Linked DNA regions of Drosophila melanogaster. The gene in region 2 interacts genetically with the main gene of each other region. Each region holds a gene or a part of one and is shown on either strand. Other genes may lie near its edges.

Region 1 (8,611 bases), 5.8 Mb from region 2:
GTGCTGCTGTTGGAGCACAGGAATTTAGGTGAATCAAACACTGGCCACGGATCGGTAACCCACTTAGCGGATAGATTTTCCAAGATATTCGCCAGGTTTTCCTTGCCTTTTTCCTAGTTTTTCACCACTCGCCTTCATTCTTTCTACTTTGTTGGATGGGCTAATAAGTTTTAATTAGTGCATTTAATGACTACTCCCAGCTTACCAGGTAGATAAATTCTCAAATCGACATCATCGTTGATTCAGTTTATGATAATCAGATCGTTACGAAGGCTTAATACACTTAAATGCTTCCATTTGAATGATTATTACAACTAGGCAAAATGGTGTACATAAATCGAACAATATAATACTTTTAATAATACGTTTGTACGGAATTGATACTTGGAAATCTATATAAACCTGCCAAATATCATTTTCGCTTAAGAAAAGAGTATTCTAAAATATTGATTACCAGTTCTTTAATTTTTTCAAAATATATATACATACATTGGTCGTTTTTCTCTCTTAATCTTGTTTTTAAAGCATTGCTATAATTACCACCATACGTTTCGAAATGGATTTTATAACCAAGTCCAAATTTAGTTAGATTTCCACAGCCACTAATTCACTTGTTTCAGCTCTTATACTAATCGAATCAGATAAGAAACCCCTAATGAGAATAATTGTCGCAAGTAAATGGAAAGAAACCGCATCGAATGGAAATGCAGACAGATGGGGGAAAAATAAAACACAAAGTGGAGCCATCGATCGTCGAGCGATTTCCCCGACACATAAAAACAATGAACGGCTGGTGCAAGAGCTTTCACCCCGCACTCAAATCGCGATGCAACTTTTGGTCATCATATACTATACTCCTTTGGGACAGTAACTCATCTACTTACCAAATATCCACGGATGCGGCGACCAGCAGTTGGACACAATCAAGGCAACCACGTGCGGCAGCATAGTGAAGGGCCAGAGCTCCTCCGTTGGGTCTTTCGCTGCCGGAAACGCTCCCCGGATGGTACATCTGGCCAACTTGGCCCATGCCGCCCAGATTCATCATACTGCCCACTCCGCCCAGGTAGGAATCCAGCTGGTGGGAGTGCATCCTTGTGCTCGGATTGATGCTGCTGCTGTGGCTTTGGTTGCTGTGGAGGAGCTTGTTGCTGTGCAGATTGTTTAGTTTGGTGTTGTGGCTTAGGTGCAGATTCGAATTGAGCGCATAATCGTTTATGGTTCTGCAGGATGGAAAGGAATAAGGAATAGAATAATTAACAATTTGTAAGAAAGTAGCTTAATGACTTATTAGCCAAATTATGTAGAGCAGAATGGTTCGTAAGGAACACAACCCTGCACAAAGACCTCAAACTAGCAACGGTATTTGACGAGATAAACCAGCACTCGAGCAGATACCATGACAGGCTGGAGCGCGACAGAAATCGGCTGGCCAGCGCTCTTAACAGATCTCGCCCACCAAGGAGGCTCAATAGAAGGCAACCGAGGGATCTCATTTCCCGATCTCCTTTGACAAGGGTCAGCAGAGAAAAAATATTGCATACTTTTCAGCTTGCTTTGTATCTCCAATTGCAGTCTACTTTTCTGCACCCCAAACAAATGACTTAAGACACAAACTTACACACTAAGCTAAGGACTTAAGACACGAACTTGCCAAGAAAGTGCAACACAATTTTAAAACTAAATATTTAATATATTATTGAAATTCATTTAACGCCTTCCTTTTTACTAATATCTAGGAACACTAAATAATATATAAGTTTACCTTTGTTGCGAAGCAAATTAGTTACAAATTTCCTTAAAATTCACTTTTATTTCATTTTTCTCTTTACTAATAGCTAATTGTTTTTTTTTTACTCTTGTTGCAAATCTAGTAGCATGTTCAATATAGCCCACGAAAATTGCTCATTGTTATTAAATTGTTTGCTTGACAGCCATTTAGGCACAACTTTTAATTAATTAATTGGCCGGGGGAAGTGATGGTTATTAATTTTGATGGCATCTTTGTGCGCATCTTGGGCTGCACTTGGATTCACTGAGTGCCCTTTTCCGAATCACTAAACCAGGTCAAGTCTGCTGCTGACTCACCTGATTGCCGTTTCCGCGGCACAAATAAACAATAACAATCATAATAATAATGCTAAGAGAAACAATACACACGGCGACACATTAATTGAAAGCTGAGAAGCAGCGCCGCCAGCATTAAAATGCGAAAATACCGGGCATTTGTGGATGGATCTCGTTTGTCTTTGCTCGTTTGTCGCTGCTTTCCTCTTGTGGCAACAAAAAGAAACAGAAAGCCGCGAAGACGACACTTTCTTCCAGTTTATTGCATCAACGCTGGCATCGCCGAACACACCAAATGGCAAATGGAAAATGGAAGCGGGCCGGTAGCAGGTGTCAACAAAACAGGGCAGGTGCCACCGAGCCCATGAAACCCACGAAAACCACAAAGCCAACATAGCCAACAAAGCTAACAATCCGACAAAACTCACAAACATTTAGCTGAGAAAGAAAAAAGTGAAATAAGCTATTTGGCAATAGCATTGCAGGCCAGTTGGTCAACTGAAGTGGCAAAGGGGGTTAAGAAAATTATGATCTTTAAGGGTGTTAAGAGGTGCCCTCTGTTTTTTGGCTTCATTTGATCGCTGGCTCGTGATATAACTCAAGTAAACAGAAAGTAAATACTTATTTTAAAGGTGAAACAACTAAATTTTACATTTCCAATTGGCTGTTCGCATTAGACTTATTGATTCGTGCAGCTATTTAAAAAATGTATTTGCTCAATACTCCTATATACAAAATATTTTTGGCTAAGATACTAATGAGCATGGCAAACGCATCCATGCGGTTAATACTGTAATTCAAAAAGCAAAATTATAAACCTTTCAAGGCAAGCTGCTTTAAGTGAGTATTAAACAATACAAATAGTTTAATAATCTACAGACTTTAGAGTTTGTTTCTATTAACCTTTCGTTCATAGCATCAAAACAAAAACATAAATAGTTAAGTAAATATGTATGGGAGAGGAAGGGGATGGTCAAAGTTCGGAAAAAGTGAAAGAACAGAGAACGGAAGAAAATAATCATTTAAGAAATTATACTCATGAAGATCTGTGGGTTTTTATGAAATGGGAAAGCCGGAGAGTTTGTGGGAAATTTGCAAGCTGCTTTCGATCCAAAAGTTCGCACATAATCCGATGGGTAAAAACTATAAATTATATACCCATCCCGGATTTTGTCGTGGCAACAGACTCATTAAATAATAATACGAGTTTCCAAAGATTTTTTAAAGGTTGCACTGATATCAAATATTTCGGGTAGCACTTAAAAAAATATAGCACTAAATATAGAACCATAGTCAATAAATTGATATTTCTTGCACTCCCATATTATTGTAGAATTTGCACTTGTTTGTAGTCTTTATCGACATATTACTGTAACTAATTGATTTTGGCGCTCGTCTATTTTTGCAGCTAATTTGTGTTCTGGTTTGCCGTTTTTGTTTATTTTTTCTAGCGATTTCTTTTACCTCAATTTGATGGCAATATCGCGGCACTTGACGCATGGCACCTGGCCGGATTCCTTGTCGGGCACTGCTGCACTGCCTCCTTTTTCCGCTGGAGCTATTGTGGCATATTGGGCCTCCTCCTTTTCCGGCTGCTCATCTGCCTTCTCATCCGCCTCCGTTTCGCTTGCGAAATCCACCACCAACTCTTCGTTGGATTCCCGGTTGGATGTAACCACTTGCCTCTTGCTAAAATAGCCCACATGTTGGTCCACTCCCGCATTGGCATCCAGCAGGATGCGCTCGTAGGCGGCGCTCTCGTTTTCCGAGAGGGCAAAGCGCTGCTCGAAAACCCGCACGGGCAGCGAACTTTTCCTTAGCACCTCCATCCGCTTGTGCCGCAGCTCGATGGAGAAGATCAAGCGGACGCGCACCAATCGCCGGAGACCCTGATGCGTTGACCTGGCGCGCTGTAACCTCCTGCGCTGCTGTCTCAGCTCCAATTTCTCCAGACCCTTCAGCGATTTGGGATCGACCAGACCGTGATTGTAATCCTCCACTGCTGTCAAATCCAAAGCGGATCGCGTGCGACGCCAGGGCACCAAGTCGAAGTGAGCACCCGCCCAGGGATGGAAGTTCACCTGGCTGACGTTGGTGCTGCGATCCTGCTTGAGGATCCAATCCGATTGCTGCTCCTTGGTCACACGAACGTGATCATTCCGTGCCGCTGCCTGCGGCTTGTGGCGTTTATATCGCGGCACCAGTGTCGCCTCCAACATCCGAGCATCCAGACCGTAATCGCGACGCAGCTGCTCCAGCTCCCTGCTGCTGGCCGTAAACTGAGCACCGTTCCACACGATCACCGGCGCACAACTGGCCATTGGATTCGTTTCGTGGCTTGTTCCTCTTCTGGTTTTGGTTCTATATACGTATTTGTACGTTCGTTCCCACCCCGAAAATTCGTTCCCCCAAATTCCCGAACTAGTTGACTTTATGTCACTGATTGCGTTCTGTTTCTGATTTTCTGAAAACCCGCTCGTTTTCCGGTTTCCGCTCGGCAATGTCGCGTTTGTCGCGTCCGCGCTCCGTGACGCCGGCGACGCAAATGTTCGCTGGCCAAAAAAGATACAACTTCAAAATCCGCAGTCGGATTCCTATGCAAAAACGTTGCGCCAGCTGCGCTGCCAGCCAAACGCCACTCATGATTAAGAGTTTTCTGTTGCTGCTCTTCTCTGTTATTGTTATTGTTATTGTTGATGTAAATGTTTTTGTTATTGTAATTGTGATTATGGGCTGTTTTGTTGGAGCTGCTGGTGTTGTTGGTGCCGCTTTGTTTGCCGATATGCCACTGCTGCCGCAGCTACACGCAGCTACAAATATTGCAAATGCCCATTTAATATCTACTTAAATTTTTTTTTATTAATTTTAACACACTTAACTATAATGAATACTCTTAATAATAGTAATAATTGTAATTTTGCAAATAAAAAAAAATTAAATACAATATTTACAATCTAAATGACCATATTTTTCAAAACAAAATGAAAACAAATTTACTTTTAAAAAACATTTTACCTTTTTAAATAGGAACTTGAGTGACTTCTGCGTCATTTAATACCTATTTCTTTAGTTATTTATTTCAAGTGTGACAGGATCGACAACTTGTAAAACTGTTCAATTATTCACTAACGGTCTACTTCTAAAACTTAGATTTATTGTATGACTTTACTGCTTTTTATTTGCAAGTTTATTTTCGTATTTAAACATTTTAATTTTTATCTTACTTTTCACTCATTTTAAATCACTTTCTAGCAGGTTCGGACTGAAGCTATTAAAGGTGATTTACATCCACTTTGCCCGGACTCAGGCTAGCATTTTCTCTCTGTGCACGTTCAACGTTTGCTCAATATTGAAGAGTCGCGGGCTTAGCTGCCCCTCTGATTGTATTATTTATTTATTTTTCACGCTCACTGCCATGTCAACTCTGCTCTGGGGCAACCCTCTGACGGCGTCGACGTCGACGTCGCTTCACTCGGCTGAGCACGCGTCAGCAACAACAGAAACAACAACACTGGCATGCATAGTAATATTAACTAAAGCCCATAGTTGTTGGTATTATCACCGCTGTTGCTGGCCATTCTGCAATTCGAGTTCACAATTCTATTCTCGGCTAATTGACGGCATCGGGCCATTGGCATTGTATTGGCCAAATTAACCAACAATTGCGACAGTGAAATAGGCCCTTTTATAGTCCACATATATAGTACAAATATAGGTTCATAAAACAATACTTGAAACGAATTAATCATATCTCTTAACTATAATTTCACGTTGATCTATTGGAAAATATTTTTATTATTTATCTGTTCATGAATTGTTGAAGATGTTATAATATATTTTATCCTATAACTATAAAAAGAATTATTTAAAATTACGTTTGTAAATATTTTAAATATGTAAATATTTTTTGTAAAACATATTTGTTATAGTACATAATAGTCTTTATAATTATTTCAGCTACTTAAGGCCAATTTCATCATCGTTTTCCATTTGCCTTGATCGAAGTTTAGCTAATTTCTATAGAAAATATGCAATTAAGTTGCAAAATATCCGCCTAGTGTTTATAGTTCTCATTGCCTTCTAAATCATTTGCCACACGAAGTGCCTATTGTACTCGAGGCATGCCAAATATCAATTATGCTATATACTTTATAGTATGTAACTATATAGAGTTTGTGCCCCTAGAACGGGCTCAACTCAGGCGTGGCGAATGTAAATGAATTGGGGCTGGCTTGCAGCTTCTTGAGTGGCAATTGAGCAACTCCACCTGCGCGCTTTTCCTCCGTACTTTTCCACCCGGCTTTTCCAGCTGTGTGACTCATGAAAAGCGTGTGCAGATGGCGTAAAGAGTTGCCTCGATTTCTGGTTCAATGGCGCTCAGGCTGCGGGTGTCATACGAATATTACGTGACATTCAGCTGCTGAAAAATTAAAAACTTGTAGTTAAAGTGCTTAGCCTCAACCTCGAACTCAAACTCTGCGTAATATCTTTCCCTCTGGGCCATGTGACCCAAAAAGAGCAATGAAAATGAAAACGCCAGAGATGAGAGCCATTAGGTGGCTTAGAAAGGCCGCCATTGAGTCGTAGTTATAATGCAAATATAACAGAGCACATTATAATGGAGGTCCATCCATACCATCCATCCGCATTTCACGTATTTGTCGCTTGCCATTCAAATTCAAATTCACATCTGGCCGAAGGCTGTCCAAATCGCATCCATTCAGTCCATCAAAGTGATGTGACATACATCCCAAGTCATATCGATAATATATTTATTGTATTTACATTGCCTGTGGGCATTCGGCGCTAAAATTGCGCAACGAGTGTGTATTTCGATATGTGTTTTAATTTGTAATTACCATAAATATAATAAAGCCAGAACCGTTATAATTTGTTTGCTGTAAATCTATCTCTATAGAAATTGTTAAGATTTCGCTAATCTCCAGAGGAAATTAAATAATATTGTTTTACAGATTTCTCCCAGGACAAAAGATTACATTATTATATTACACTATAATTTAAGCAGATGTAAAAGTCACACATCTAACAGGAAGTACTTATTCATAGCTTATTGTCCTAAAATCAAAAGAAGTCCTTGAAAATATTTCCTAAGAAAATTTCTATTTAATGTACTATTAATTTTTCTGACCCACTCTTAGCTTTTTTTTAACGGCTGGTGGACTATTAATCTGCGAAGTATTCGAAGTACGAAAATTAACAATTTGAAAACAGCTGAAATCATCAGCCAACAAATGCTTCAGTGATTTTGAAGGGTAAAGCCATAAAAAGGAAAATAATTTCTTTTGGGCGCGCTGGAAAACAGTTTGTTCGGTGGGTAACTGTGTGCCCCACTCGGCGGATAGGAAATAAACATAAAACATTAAGCAGCACCACTCGCAGCAACAAAAAAATTTTAATAGCACTGTGGTGGGGCAATAAAAACGAAAGAAGAAAATAAAACTGCTATACGGATTTACGAATATTTGGGTAATTGCGCAATACGGAAAATCGGGGGAATACATAAAAACTGGGTTAATTTTAAATGAATTTGACTTAATTTAAAATAAATATATACAATACATTTCAAGTTATATATATTTTATATTATAACAATTATATACAAATATTTGTAGACTTATGGTGCTTAGATTTCATTTACTTCCGATATTCGAACTACTGCGACCACATCTTGCATACTTTTACTTTTCGCTCCATTGTTTTATTTCTCGGTATTCGCCAATCAAAAGCAGAACAGTCTACAAGACTTTGATCGAACGGTAAACGCTTCGTTTTCATCCATCCGTCGAAGCGGTTTAGATCATCAAAGATCGAAGATCTCACATGGCACCTAAATATATCTTGCCCCATCCGTCAATTCAAATTCAAATTTTCGAACGGCCGAGAATCGAAACACGGCAAGTTTTCACTTTCGTGTGTGTGAAAATGGAAGAGGAAAAGTAGAAAGCAAAAGTCAATGTGCTAAACTGTCTAAAAAGAATTCTTCGGCATCTTCGGCGATCGGTGTTTAAAAGGTCGCACGAAAAAACAGGTTCGTTTAAATAAATCAAAGAAATTTGTATGATATAAATTCATTCTAGTTAAGAATGTTTTAAAAAGTTATTACCAAATTTAAGCTAGTTGTAAAATAATTATGAGCAATCTTTGATTTAAATATTTCTTTTGTGAGTTTAAGTTGCGCTCACATTTTTCGATAGCCCAAAAAAGTTCTCTGTGTACCTCTCTCTTGCTATCAAAATATGCCCGTCTCTTTCTGCGAATCTCCCGTGTTATTCATATGCAAATCTGAGTTTATTCAATCACTCATTTATGCGATTCAAATGAAGTTCGTCCGTGAAAGTAAGCCATGGCAAAAGTCCGAGAAACAAACATTTGTCCAACAATCAGCCGTCAACGAATGTTCAAAATGTTCAAACAAGACGAGACATCAGCGTCCGTCCGCTCACCTGAAGACTCACCCAAGTTGTGACAGGTCGTGGTCCATTCCATTACGCCTCCCGCCTGCCCTCCTGCCACGCCCCCTAAC
Region 2 (8,611 bases):
AGGCGATATATATCGTGGGAGGGCGGCACAGCGGTCTGCAGTTCGTCGTCACTATCATCGCCCCCAGGCAGCAGTCGTCGCCGGCGCGGTGGAACGGCCGTAACACTGTGCTGCACCCCCGTATACGTACTTGTATCCACGATCCAGTGAACCGACTTGGCCAGATCGAAGATCTTAGGCGACAATTCGTTGTCTCCATTCGGTTGCGGTGCAGCTGAGTAAGATAATTGTTCAATGTTAATTGAAGAGAATTTCAATCAGGGACACTCACAGTCCGGAAGATTGAGACGCATGAAAATGTCGAATAGTAGCTCTACGCTGACGAACGGTCCACGGAAGGAGTTCGGTGGAGGCAGGGTGGCGCACAAAGCGGCCAGAGCTGGCGGCTGCGGAAATACACCACCTGCAAGTGGATGGGCACCAGGATGAGCACATGGACGCGGCTTGAATGGAATCATCTGGGAGAAATCCGGACGTGGCAATGGTGGCGTTGCCTCGCTATCTGTTTCGACCTCTCCGGTGTTCTGGCTTTGAGCTCCACCACCCACCTTGTTCAGTATAATGCCCACATTCTGCAGAACGAGGTGATTAAAGTAAGACAAGTAATTAAAGACAAACATTTTGTGGACCCTATAAAAAGTATTGTGAAAAGTTTGATTGGCTATAAGAAGAAAAATGTCGTAATGAACACTTTTAAAACAGTCTGTGCTAAAAAATGTTTTTTAAAATTCAGTAAGTCTATATGCTATCTCTTTCTTCTTCGCACATATAAAATAAAATAGTCTTGCTCTTTCCTTTCCAATGAGTTCCTACAAACTGTCTCAAATGGGAAAAATTATGAATGAAATCAATTTTCAAAAAATGTATTCAGACATTAAACTGTTATGGCGATTACTACACGATCACATGTTATCGTTTGATGTAGTATAACAATAGAATCCAATTATTTCGCGGTTATGGATGCTAGTTTGTTTCTTCTTTCTTCTTATATTTTTATAAATAAATAAATTCCGTTACGCACCTCAGCATATCCTATGGACTTGAGCTCGGTGCTGGTGCAGGGGTAAAGGTCCAGAAATTTGTAACGGTCAACCAGCTGGGCGGTCTCCTTGCCCTCATACTCTTTAAGCTTTAAACAAATATTATTATAACATATTTCTAAAATAAAGTAGTAAAAGAACGCACGTTTTCGAAAACGGCACTACGGCGACGTTCGACCTTAACGATGCTGGAGAGATCCCCAATATTAGATTCGAACTCGAGGAAGCGATTCCAGACCTCAACACTCTTGTGCGGCGACAAACCACCTGAACTAAGTACCCGTTCAAACAGGACGCGCGTATTATTGTCCTCGTTTAGATGGGACAGGTAGTCAATGTAGCACATCACGTACTCTGGACTGCCACCAAAACGCTTCAATCCCAGCTCGAAGATGCGGAACGCAATTTCTTTGTCCTTGGAGCAATAATACTCCATTAAAGCAGCGGCCACGAAAATGTGATAGCGCGACCTTACGTCCTCCCGAGCTTTCTTAAATATGCTACGGGCCGACTTGATCCCCTCAGCACGACGGGCGAACTTCATGTACTGAACATAGACCTGGAGTATTAAATTTCGATGGTATCAAATATTTGATGAAACATATTCAATATGTGTGTTCCTACCAATGTGGGATCAATGTCTGGCAACTGTAACAGCTTGTTGTACATAGTGTGCACCTTCTCGTACTTGAGCCGTCCTTCTTCAAAGTCCGCATAGGCAAAATATAGCAACGCATTTCGGTTTAGCACGCCGTTTATAGACCGTTCCAGTATATTAGCACACTCGTCCGCAAAAATCTTGGCCGCCTGGACGTCCTGCAATGTTTTAATAAGTAATTAAACATGTAAATACACAAAAGTTCGACTTAGTTATAAGAGTAAAACGCGTGCGGCCTGGCCAGGGGCAACGGGGCAAGCCACGGAAAGCCATCTGTGTTGTGCCACTGCGTGCTCCTTTACCCGAGGGGCGACACTTCTTAGCAAACAAGAGACTATATTTGATTCGTTTTTGGTTTTGACCTTTGCCCACCACCAAGCAAAGGCCATAACCCACTCTATTTGATTCACTACAGGAACGCAGAGAATAGGTGAAATGTTTTCAACACTAGTACGCACGCCTTTTTCGGTGAGCACGCGAGCACTGGTGTCCAGGAATTGGGAGGCCTGGTGCCACACTGCCGGGTGGTGGGTGAGCACCAGCAAACATTGCTCCGTGGCGAACATGACACGACGGGTTACTAGGGCCGTATCTTCAGTGCGCAAGGGATTAGACTTCTCATACGTGATAAAGCGCTTCCACAGCTCCACTTGCTTCACCTCCTCTTTTGTGAGTGTGGGTGGGACGGCTGGCAGATTGCGATTGAGACCCTTTGTGTGGTATTCCAACTCTTTGGCAACACGACGAGCGTTCATGTAATCCCTGGTTTTAAGTTGGAATTTAGAAAGAACATTTAGCAAACTCTGCGTATAACACTCACTTAGATCGCTCCAGACTCATCTTCTCTGATATAATCGGGTTTATGTTTTGCTCGAATGCGATATAGTCCTTCCACAACTGCTCGATGCCCACGATAGGTGTGACTACAGCCTTTTGATAGACGCGGCGCACTGCTGTGATCTTTTGGTTCTCTGCATAGTTGCCCACTGCTTCAACGCCCCGCAGAAAGTATATGTAATCCTGCCAGATGCTGAACGAGTGTAGATCCATGCCGATTTTCTCCAGTGCAAAATCATAAGCCTGGGCCATTTTTTCTCTGAGAAAAGAGATAAGTCCAATAAAATAAGCGTGTCAGAATAACACAAATGTTGTGCATCAAAAAAAACAATATGCTCGCTGCATTGCAAGTTTTGACTAAAATTATAATAGTTTCTAAGATGTCAAATTATGTGAATTATTTAAATAAGGTATAACAGTTACTTGTGAGTACTTAGACCCGACTTGGTTTCCTTCACGTAGGTAAGATAGAGCTTCCAGAGGTCGATGTTCAAAATCTTGACTAGGCAGCGTTGAAAAAGTTTCTCCACGCGTTCATAGTACCGGCTGCGCATCTCCATCTCAATGTATAGCTTCCAGTACCGAGCGGTTGTCGGAAACACATTAACTAGCGACTCGTAAAGACTGCGTACTTCGTGGATTGGCCGCGTTTGGGCCTCTCGGATCATGACACTCCAGGACTCGATGTCATAGGGCCGCAGCTCCACCACTTGCTGAGCTCGCACCAGGCGCTCCATGCCCCATTCCTTGTCATCGATAAGTAAAAATATGTTGTTACCATCCAAATAAAGCCAATGTTTTACTTACTATGTCGACTTTGATAAGGTCTCTGGCCGAAGACATTGCTAATAGTCTTTGCAAATTGTCGTTGAGTCCTGCTTGCGCTGCTCCTTGGCCCGGGAAAGTTCCTTTCTTCCGTTGAACTTTCGCTACGCAATTACCTAAAGCAACGCTTGGATGCCGCTTTTCCGAATTCTTTTAGAAGTTGCAATGCGGCTGCTTAGATATCGACGACTGATTGGATGTAACTGCGATAGTGTCATCGCCAATCACATCGCGGGCCTTACCATTAAAATCCCAAGATTTGGGATGTGTAGTACAGCGGTCACTGATTATAAACTATAAATAAAAAAGATATATGGTTTTAACATACTTTAAAGGTACTAAATCTGTAAATAATGAATTCAAGCAGAAGCAATATTTTTTATAGCTTGTTTCCACTGAAACATTTTTCTGTACGTTGCTAAGGTGAAGGTTGTTAACAGATACTTTGAACCGTTTAAGTTCTATGTAATAGTAAGTAAAAGAGGTAATATTTAATAAAAAGGCATTTTTAGGAAGCCTGGAATTGTATGCCTAGTAGCGTAACTAGGTACGAATTTTTCCTGATTACCCTATAACATTATACATTAAAACAATATAACATAATATGAGGTAAAGGTATTCTTGGTATTGTGGTATTCGAACAAACATAACTATGAAAACACACGAAAACATTATAATTTAAGTCAATGGATTGTTCTTAAATGTTTTAGACACGAGTCCAAGTGATAACAAAATTCAACAAGGTTAACGGAACTTATTTTTTGCTATAAGAAATAGAAAGTGAAACGCACCTTTCTTCAGCAACTGTAGTGTTAAATTGTTTTAAGAATTTACTTACAGAGAAATGTTTTATTGAAATTTAATTTTTTCTTTTGTTGTTTCTTTTTCATGTTGAGGGTTCAACATTCCCACAATTTAACAGTTTAAGGAATACCCAGAATCTAACCCTAGAAATAGATTGGTATATTTATCGATATTAATTCAGTACCAGTATGCGGTCACATTGGGTAAGTGTCAAAAAAGTTTTAAAACAAACGCTAAACAATCAGGAGTGGCAATCAAACGAAACCAAGCGCATTTATTAGCCGAGAGATAATTCGAGTTAAATTCGCAACTAGTATTAGTATCATTCATTGAAACCGATTTATTAAACTGCCAAGGTAGACAAGACACACACACATGTGCGTGTTTCCGGAGAGCATCACAATCATTGCAGACCTAGAGGCCAACAGCTGTTGTTGATGTCCTAGCGGTATATTTACGGTTTATAGACTTCGACAAGTTAGTGAAATTATTACCGTTCCTGGGTCACTCTCCCTTACCTAATACCTCTGTGGGTGTGTGTGCTAAGGCGCAATAAGTGTGTCACACTGACGCGGTTTTGTGTTTCAAAGTAGAACAAACACTGTGTGTGTGTATCCCTCACATATGCATTAGCTTTGTCTCTGTTATATTGGCCAATGTTTATTCCTGCATACCAGAAATAAATAAACAAAGAAATCATTCTCTAAGCTGTGTTGCAAGCACAAAAAAAATTTTGTCTGCAACGATAAGTTTTTCCCTTGATACAAATATTTATATATCTTTTGAGCCATAGCGTTTTTTCATTCTGCAAAATTAGTTTTATTCAATGTGGTTTGTATTATGTGTTTTTGACTATCAAAACTATCAAAAAATCGTGTATTAAGGGGACTTTATACCGTAAAAATGTATGTTGTCTTACTAAAATATTTTTGTTATAAAAACTTAACTTTCAAAAGGGATTTAAAGCGAATGCAACAAAACTCATTCATGAAATATACCTTATTTTGTAGCTTATTTAATTCTTGTTTAGATAGTTGTAATTAAAAAGTGCATTCTTTGCGATTTTCGGAGAAATTATAGTTTTTAGGTCCTTACCCTACTTGTTCAAATGCAGAGTAATTTTAGCTAAAAGGGAGTTAAAAATGCCTGTTGGTGAATTGATTCATTAATTTGTTATTATGTTTGTGTTTACTTTTTTGTAAAATAATTCAATATGCAACCACTACCACGAAATCAGTTGTTCTTTGCTTGGACTAGAAAAAGCATACGAAATTAGGGAAATACCTATACAAAATTAGTTAATTAAATATAAGAGGCGGTGCCACGGCCACAATTTTTGGTATCATAAAAGATAATGGCAAAAAAATTTAAATATCTTTATCCGTTCTAGAGTTACAAACTACAACAAATATAAGGGGCGGTTTCAGAACGGATATATTGTAACCCAATCTGAATATCTTTCAACGTCCTGGAGTTATTCATTTTGGGCAGAAAAAGTGGTAAAATTTCACATAGTGGTACGTGGGCAAGTTTTGAAATATTCGCACACCCTAACGACGGCAAACCGCCCAAAAGGTTCACACCCACACTTTTGTGAAATGTTATAATTATTTTTCATTGCATTTTTTGATTTTTTGCTACTTTGTATCGCTTTGCCAAAATACCTCCACCATCTCATTCGAACGCCAACCAAATTTTTTAAATATGTTTAGACTTTTTTATTTGGTTATTATACCCGTTACTCGTAGAGTAACGTAGATTCGTTTAAAGGAATGTAACACGCAGAAGGAAGCGTTTCCGACTGTATAACGGATCAATAGCCGAGTCGATATAGCCATGTCCGTCTGTCCGTATGAACGTCGAGATCTCAGGAACTATAAAAGCTGGAAGGCGGAGATTTAGCATGCAGATTCTAGAGACAAAGACGCAGCGCAAGTTTGTTGATCCATGTTGCAACGCCCACAAGCCCACGAAAAAATGCCACAAGCACTCTTTTGAAAAATATATTGATATTTTTTCACATCTTTATTAGTCTTGTAAATTCCGATCGATGTGCAAAAAAAAACTGTTTGCCACACCCACTGTGACGCCCTTAAGCCGACAAACCGGTCACGCCCCACTTTTGAAAATTGTTGAAATTTTTTCTCATTTTATTCCCCAACATCTTTTGGTATCGCAGAAAAATATCTGGGTTAACGGGTATCTGATATTCAGGCAACTCGACTATAGCATTCTCTCTTGTTATTCTAAACAATTTTATGGATATGACAATCAAGTTTCAAAGTTTCTCCCTCGTTCTCCCCTTAGTTGAGTGGCGCTAGTGGAGAAAATCTATAGCGGTTCCTTTTGTTATTTTAACTTTTTTCCTAAACTAATTTTCCATAACAGAGATAAATTAGTTGGAAATTGTCAATATATTTCTAAATTAATTTGCTTTCTTTAAATATCAATTTATTTAATAGATAGAAAATTCATTTCGTCCTGTCTGTGTTACCAAAATATTTAGAACACTTAACAAAAATTCATATAACGTTCTGTTATATGAATTGCTGTTTGATTAACGAATGATTAAAACGTTTAAAACGTTACGTTTCGAAAATCAGAAAAAAGGAAAGAAATGCATACATTATCTTAACTTCAAAGCTTTTAAAGTTTTCGAGGTGACAGCCCCCTTACGGACAGACAGACTTTACCATATCAATTCGGCTAGTGATCCTAATCAGGAATATTGTACATATATATGTATATGTATACCGCATTAAAAGAGCATACAAAAAATTTCTGAATTCTACGACATCGAAATACAAAATACAAAGATAAAAAATACTTGTAGAGTAAAAGGGTATAGTTGATTCGTTGGAAAGTATGTAACAGGTAGAATAAAGCGTTTATAGCTTCAGTTTCAGGAACTATAAAAGCTAGAATGTTGAGATTAACCATTACCACTCTAACGCCCACAAACCGCCCAAAACTAAAAAAATTTGTTTCATGGTTTTATAAGTCTTGTACATATCTACCAATTCGCAAAAAAAAATTTTGGCACGCACACTCTACCGCCCACAAACCACCCAAAACTGTCACGCCTACATTGGAATAATTTTTAAATTAGTTTCCATTTTATTATTTTGGTTTCCAATTTCTGCCGATATTCTAAAAGACATATTGAAATATGTCGTTCCACCTGAGTAACGATAGCTGGGGAACTCGACTATCGCATTCTCTATTGTTTATAACTCATTTTATGGAAATTATAATGATAATCGTCATCAGAAATTTGTTCTGATTTTTTCCTGTTACCGTCGGTTAACTCAACTTGTTTTTGTTTGTTAGTTTATCGGGCCAAAAACCGATTCGTTCAAGCTACTTTTCAGCCATCTTGTATAACCGGTTATGATACGAATTTTCTTTATAATTATGTGGTGCATTTTTTTAAAATAATCCCTGGGACATCGTTAGATAGTGTCTTTCGACGGCTTGCGAGTTCTTGCTCCTAGATTGTATAACTCTGGACCTATCCAACAACTCTACTAACGATTTTTGACATAGTTCGTTCTGTCTCGTTTATTCTGTCTTGTTTATCGTGAGTCGAGATGTCCAAATTGGACAAAATTGGCTTGTAAAAGAGGTGTTGGTGTATGCAAAAGTTGGTGTTTGCAGTTACAATGGTTAACGACATGAACGTTAGTAATTTTTCTATCAAGGGTGGACCACGCCCACTAAGCCTAAGTGTGTTTGGATTGTTGGGTGTGGGTGTGGAAGTAAAAGAGGGCACTAAATGTGAGAGTAGATATAGTTGGCTGTGTTCGTCGGGATCTTTTCAATTTAATTTGTCTACCCTGAATTTTTTTTCACGGAGCAGTAATTTAGTGATTATCGTTTTTTTCAGTCGGGTCATTCGGGGGGAACCGTACTAAAGAGTCTACTTTGTTTACTGCAAAATTCATTATTATTAATGATATGATTAAAATGAAGTTTTTTATTTATAATCGAACACAATTTTTTGTGTACCAAAATTATTTTAGTGGTTATACATATTTAAATGATTTTTTTGAGGGTATTAATAGATACAGTTTAGCAACCCAACAATTCAGCCTTTCGTTACTTTTTCAACTCCAATCCGATGTCAAACAAACAAAAATAAATCGCGAGCTGACGTGATAACAAATAACCGCAAACTGCTGTTGCTAACAGAAATTGTATTATTCGGTTGTTCAATAAATGTTCAGTCAAATTCGGATACATTAGGCGAGGAGGAGAAGCCATCAATCAGTCAACCTACGCAGTTTACATTGTTGGATCCGACGAGCAAGTTGGCTTGAAGCGCGCTAAGCGGTCTAATATCCCGTCTGTTGGCTTGATGCCGTAAAATTTTCCAAGGGCCTGAGGCATGTGCTCCTCTGTCGGCCTGGTTGTGGAAGGCATTGCGCTGGGCAGTGGAAGCCAGTAT

What was found.
Region 1: of su(f) (region 2) and f, changing one suppresses a phenotype caused by changing the other (phenotypic suppression), as found in Drosophila melanogaster (3 studies listed by BioGRID).

What each region holds. Positions count from the first base shown.
Region 1 is NC_004354.4:17,255,252-17,263,862, reverse strand, and holds the start of f (forked), read right to left. Parts: upstream 4,490-8,611; 5' UTR 4,389-4,489; coding exon 3,532-4,388; intron 1,224-3,531; coding exon 885-1,223; intron 1-884.
Region 2 is NC_004354.4:23,092,463-23,101,073, reverse strand, and holds the start of su(f) (suppressor of forked), read right to left. Parts: upstream 3,666-8,611; 5' UTR 3,379-3,665; coding exon 3,343-3,378; intron 3,282-3,342; coding exon 2,959-3,281; intron 2,795-2,958; coding exon 2,519-2,794; intron 2,461-2,518; coding exon 2,061-2,460; intron 1,857-2,060; coding exon 1,665-1,856; intron 1,600-1,664; coding exon 1,186-1,599; intron 1,130-1,185; coding exon 1,022-1,129; intron 573-1,021; coding exon 272-572; intron 215-271; coding exon 1-214. Other genes in the region: CG17159 (uncharacterized protein), read left to right, coding at 8,552-8,611. UniProt on the Drosophila melanogaster protein: Essential protein, may play a role in mRNA production or stability.